Regions from separate parts of the Mus musculus genome. Here region 2 is reported to be linked to region 1. Evidence: microRNA targets listed by miRTarBase, many of them from high-throughput screens and not tested one by one. Region 1 holds a microRNA gene; the other region holds the end of a gene's coding sequence.
Evidence for each region. The annotated mature microRNA mmu-miR-375-3p reads UUUGUUCGUUCGGCUCGCGUGA and lies in region 1 at 1,427-1,448, opposite strand. An mRNA with a match to its seed (bases 2 to 7 or 8) in the 3' UTR can be bound and repressed. Matches are read on the target gene's strand: a 7mer-m8 pairs with bases 2 to 8, a 7mer-A1 pairs with bases 2 to 7 and ends in A, and an 8mer does both.

Region 1 (3,129 bases):
TCCAGCTAAATGGCTCGATGCCAGCAAGGGCAAAGGGGAAAAGACAGTTCCACAGGGAGAACCTGGTCGGGGAGGCCAGGATGGGGGCTACACATCTCCATCTGAGGACACCTGGACCTAGTCTAGCCTTGGGACTAGTTCCATCAAGAACCCACCCTTTCCTCATCAGAACCACTTTGCAAACATTCCTCAGGCGCTCAGCAGATCCAGTGGGACCTCCTGGTAACTAGGGGGTTGGGTAGTAGAGCACATGTGGGCGATGGGACAAGACAGCAGTTCTAGGAAAATTTGGTTTATTTATCACACCGTCTCCCTGGCATTGCCTCTGTCTTGGTGTGTGGGTTACTGCTCTCCTTCATTTCTTCTTTATCCTAATGGGAAACCAGCCAGGGGCTCCTTGCTGCTGTATGAGAGCCTTTGTCACCATACATTGTCATGAGGGGGGCATGGAAGGCACCTGGAATCACAGGACAGCCTCACTCAACCCTGGCCTAACCTCCCTGCTGGGTCTTGTATGGAGCTCTTGGTTTGAGCTCCTCTGCCAGAGTGTAAGAAAATCCCCTTCCTGCAAGCCAGGTCACAGCATTTAAAGTAATTGAGATGGGGGTGGCCCATTCCAGATCTAGGTTGTGGCTAGTGATCCATGGCCAAACGAACTCTGGCTGAGCTGTGTGCTACCTAGACCCAGTCTAGCCCGTCTGACTGGGCTGCAGAGAATACAAGATTAGGGGGTTTTGAGGAAGGTGGTGAGTTCTTTCCTGTGCCTGAAGACCCTGTTTGTCCTTTTTGCTGTCTGCTGATCTCAGATATGGTTGGATTGGAACACGGACCCGAGAGGAGGTGAAAGTGAAAATTTCAGGTGGCAGTGGAAAGAGTCTGAGAGGTGGAGTGGATTTGAGTCTGCCCAGAAGACCTCAGTTCACCTCTCCCAGATTTTTCCCACACTGCACAACCCTGGCACTGTGAGGTTAAAAGGTTAAAGGGACTCGGCAGAGTGGCTAGGGGTCCAGAGAGCAGAATAAAGAGGTTAGTGGAGGCCCTGACTATTGTGAGAAAGGCGGCTGACTTTGCAAATGGGGGAACCAAGACTTTTTGATAACACTCCCCCAAGGCTACAGAATTCTCTGGGACAGAGCAGGACTAGAATCGCAGTTTCCCCCTTCGGGAGGGGATCTGTTCCAGACCTCAGCCCATTGCGGCCATCCTGCTGGAGCCTGCTCGGCCCGCATTACCCTGCAGCGAGCTATGCCTGGCAGCTCAGAGTCTGAGGGCAGGGCAGGCGGGGCCTGATGGGAACCGGTTGTCTCCCCCCTGGGGGGACCGTGCTCAGTCTCTGCGACCCATATGGTGGCGGTGGCGACGGCGGCTGGTGTTTGCATGGCGATCTGGCCGGCCCCAAGGCTGATGCTGAGAAGCCGCCCCTGCCTCACGCGAGCCGAACGAACAAAACGCTCAGGTCCGGTTTGTGCGAGGGGCTCGTCGCGGGGCCGGAGCGGAAGACCCGGGGCCGGGCGGCAGTCGTCGGCGGTGTCTGGTGGATGAGCTTCCTCGAGTGCACAGCGCTCCCGCTAGCCGCCGCTCTCACCTGAGCACCGCGGTGGCTGACACGTCGGCGGCAGTGGCGGACGCCACAGGTGCACACCTGGCCGGCCCCTCCCTCCCGGGCCACCCGCCACAGCGTTTCTGCCCCTCCGCCCAAACCAGCCAGGCTTGGCTTCGTCCCCAGCCCACGCCCCGAAGCTTGTGCCCGAGCCAGGACTCAGAGCACTCTTATACTGCCAGTTCAGTCCCCGCCCCTGCACACACACACACACACACACACACACACACACACACACACACACACCTGTCCGGGCGCCCGTTTGCTCGGGGCAAATATTGACTCATGGAGGCGGAGCACACCCCCCCCCCCCTCGCTCAGAGGCCTTGGCAGCGGGTAGGGGGGGTGAGAGAGGGAGGGAAGGGACAGGGGTGCAGGGGAGGGTACCGGGACCAGGAGCGCCTCTGGAACAACACCAGATGTCACTTTTCCACCCACCTGGCTCTGAGCTCAGGGAGGAGCAGAAGACAGAGGCTGCCCAGAGGGCTTAGGGAGAAAACAGAGGCGGACCTCCTAGCGAAGGCAGAACATCTCTGGGTCTCAGGAGTGGTTTGCAATGGAGGTTATTTAGTAACATCCGTAGCCCACCAAACCTTGTCTTCGAAAAGTACCCAGATCATAAATCTGGCCTCTGCGATGTACCTCATTTTTTTTTTAAACTTGTTTGTTCGTTTTGAGACAGGGTTTCCTTTTGTAGCTATTATGTCCTACAACTAGATCTGTAGACCAGGCTGGACTCACAGAGATACGCTTGCCTCTGCCTCCCAAGTGCTGAGATTAAAGGCTTCCTTGCTTGCGCCACCACAGCCCAGCTTCATTCTAACCTCTTAGCATAGTTCAGGGAACTAGGTTGGCCCTGGAAGTGCTGGTGAACACATGTGGGAAGATTCTATCTCCATGGCTACCTATTTAGCCCACCAGGCCTAGGAATCCTCTTTTTTGTTTTGTTTTGTTTTTGTTTTTGTTTTTTGGGTTTTTTTTTGTTGTTGTTTTTTGTTTTGTTAACCAAGTTACACTGTTGCAAAGATCAGCTATGTCTCTCCTGAAGCGCCCTCCACTGGCCAAACTAAGAACAACACCTCACTGCAAGTAAGAAGAACTCTTGCCTGTCAACGGGAAATGTACCCTCCCATTTCTAAATAGATGGGTCTCTGTGGTCCACATCAAAAACTCTCACCTTCCACATATCTCAACATACTTCTTTCTCCAGGCAGGAGGAAATAAAAGCCAGGTAGATTGGCGTGTGGAACTTAATGGTTTACTTGCAGAACAGTAAGAAAAAAAAGGGACCAGGGGCAATTTAGGTAGTCATGTTAGAGGGGCTGGATGCTGACACCAGCAAACAGTCAGGATGCTGCATCCCAGAGCAGAGCACGTCCCCTTGTGACATCTGCAAGAGGTTGTCTGTCCTGCAAAAGAGAAAGGGTGAGGCTTTCAATCACATCTGAATGCCTCTCCTGGCTTGCCTTCCTCCAACCAATGAGGCTAAGCCCAACCCCCTGACCTGTGCATGCTGACTGGTGGTAGGG
Region 2 (3,075 bases), not on the chromosome of region 1:
TAACATTGCAAGAATAGCAAGAAACATTTAAAATCCAGATCTGGGCAAAAGTGCTGGTGTCTGAAATGCTGTGTAGAAGTTCGGATAGAATCAGTTCACTGCCTCCAGGTTTTTGATTGGTTGTGGCAGGACTGAATAACCCTTTGACACCCCATGTCACATAATTTCCCATCAGGCCCCAAGGCAGACGAAGTGAGATAGTTGTAGCGTTCGCTGTACCATCTTTAAATTATCTTGTAGGACTAATGAGAAAACCTGATCTTCCAAAAGAAGTCAGTGTGTGAGCGTTTCCTCTGTGTGATTTGAATGACGAAAGACTTAGCCATGAGCATCATCAGTACAGGACTGTAAAGTGAAACAACCCATAGGTCTAACAGACTAAAAGTCGTTTTTAAGGTCTTCCTCAGATCCTAACAAGCTGCTGTGCTGTGTTTGTTCTCAGGTGCAGAGTTGAGGTGTTTTCAATGAAACCTATTCGTCCGACTTGAGCAGCATTGGCCACGCTGCTCAGACCACTGGCCATCTCCATCACCTGGCGGAAGCCCGGCCTCTTCCCGATATCACACCCGGTGGATTCCTGTAGCTCCCATGCCAGGATGAAATTCATTCAGGAACAGGATACCAGAACTGTGAGGGTTGGACATCAGTACACTTTCTCCAAAACAGATTTCGATTCTTGTGTTTAGAGAAGGAGTTTAAAACCCGTACCTGAGATGCTCCCTATACGATGGGAGAGCTCGGACGGAGCACATGGGAGGAGTTCAGGCACCTCAGAGTGCACAGTGTTTACTGTGAAAAATTCTCGGGTTCCCTGCTCAGTAACTTCAGCAGGAAAAACAGGGAGGTATTTGGAGCTTTGAACTTCTGGATTCTTGTTAGTATACCAAATACGGAGTTACAGGACTAACCGATTTCCTATATTTTTTAACCTCTGTTTTTGTCCCAGAAGTTAAAGTAAATGGTTTGGTGCTTTTCTCAAAAGAAAATCTCAATGCTTTCTTTCTGCACTGTTAATATAAGTGCCTCACTTTTTGTTGTTGTTGTTGTTGTTTTCTGATTTTTTTCTTTTTTTCTATCTACCTGTAACACAATAGGGTATGTATTTTATATGAAATATTTTTTATCTTTTTTGAATTAATATTCTTTCTGCACAAAGAAAGTTTCCCGAATCCCAACCTTTCTATGACCCCGCTGTGTGTGTGCACTACTCATCCTTTCCTTCAGATAAAGAGTAATTGATAACTCAAAGTCCACTATTTATTGTGTAATATACCTGCTTCTGGCCGTTAGATGTTCCTCTGTGCCTTATGTTGAAAAATTTGAAAAATAACATGTTGCCCAAATTATTTAATTATTACATACTATTAGAGAGTAGCACTTGTATTTTAACCGTGTTTTCTGAGACGTGAGATAACGCTGCTGCTGAAGGTTTCCCAGAAACCTCCACGATGAGATCAGAAGGCCACCGTAGAAAGTGCTAAAGGTGCCTATGTCCACTACGCTGCAGTGAGGGGAGGTGGCGTGTGTCAAGCCTGTTAGCTATATTAAGCAGAGCACTCATTTCACTCTGTCTAAATTATCTTTGAAAAACTGTCTGTAATCCTGTTTGTGATATTGACTTTATAAATTCCACTTCTTATACTAGTGGAAGCTATTCATTTTTCTCATATTTGAGGAGTGTTAAGATGGAAGATGCCATGTCAGGTGCAAGGTGTTTTAATGACTGAAATGAATGGTGCATTGTATAAACATAACGAACAAAATAATCTGTAAAATATTCGCAGTTTTCATTTAAGAATAGTTCTTACCTCATATGCATTTTTTCAGTGTATCTTGTAAAGAAATCAAGTAGTAAATTGAAGCTTTTACGTTGGCATTAAGATAAAGATAAATACAATTTGTTCACCTCCATACCTTAAGTTGTTTATGTGATACACCCTTTGCTGCCAATATGGCAAATGTGTCACTCTGCCAAATGCACTGTTCTCAAACGGCTTAAAGAAAAAATGCTGGTGTCTGCCATTGTCTCTGTTCTTGCTTAGATATGATATATGAAGGATGTGGTCCTGGATCTGTTTTTCATATGTTATATAAAAAGCTGATGAGATCCCAAACTGAGATGTATTCAAATCCAGAAGTGGTTCTCAACCTGTGCTCTGTGGCTCCCGTGGGAGATAGACTGACCCTTTCACAGGGGTCCCCTAAGACCATTGGAAAACACAGATATTTGCATCACAATTTATAACAGTAGGGAAATTACAGTTTTAAAGTAGCAATGAAAATAATTTTATGGTTGGGGTCCTGAGCAACTGTATTCAAGGGTCACAGCATTAGAAAGGTTGAGATCCACTGAAATGTTGACTCTTCTTTTTTTCTTTTAGAAAATTAATGTATGTAAACATGCCTTTGGGAAAAAGATCTCTTCTATGCATTTTCAGTCAAAATTCTGAATCTCTAGGATTAAGCATTGAAAAACAACTGTCTAAAACATTTCACAATTTTTTTCCAGCATGAGGTGTCACCAAGGATTTAGACTGGTGGTCTGAATTAGTATCCCACTTTTCTATGTAAACTTTTCATTAAAAGTTGTCATAGAAACCATTTTGTCAGTCTCTTCTGCATGTTACCAAATATTCAGTTAAAAAAAAGAAGACAACTTTGGACACTGAGAGTATGGTGGCATTTAATTACACACTTATCAAACTGAAAGTCTTAAAAACAATATTGTGTGTTCTTATCTATATAAAAATAGCTAAAACATCTAAGAATAATAAAATCACATTAAACTGCCTATTTGTTTGTCTGTATTGCCAAGTGCCAAATGGAAAGACCACTTAGAGCACCACTAGACTGAGGGATTAACTTCTAGATGAAATTCTAAGACTCTTGTGTATGTCTGATTGAAGTTCTTCTTTTCTAGGTGTTTCTTACAGCACCTGAACACTTAACCAATATGCCAGTGTATCAACTTTTCAATTGTTACTATGCACAAGCTAGTTTGAGTATCAATAGATCTTAGGTCTACATAGCTCCTTGCTGTCCTTTAAACTGTTACTTGCTTACATATGCCATGCA

Region 2: the mRNA of Ahr is a reported target of mmu-miR-375-3p. Seed matches in the 3' UTR shown: 8mer at 1,755-1,762.

What each region holds. Positions count from the first base shown.
Region 1 is chr1:74,899,235-74,902,363 of GRCm38, forward strand. Mir375 (microRNA 375) reads right to left here and starts at 1,487; the gene lies at 1,424-1,487. Cfap65 (cilia and flagella associated protein 65) reads right to left here. Exons shown (of 33, transcript NM_001039495.1): 32 at 3,105-3,129; 33 at 2,846-3,009. The coding sequence ends at 2,901.
Region 2 is chr12:35,498,068-35,501,142 of GRCm38, reverse strand. It overlaps Ahr (aryl-hydrocarbon receptor), which reads left to right. Exons shown (of 11, transcript NM_013464.4): 11 at 443-3,075. The coding sequence ends at 454. Among named protein-coding and RNA genes, the nearest start is that of Ahr, 35 kb to the left of the region's middle.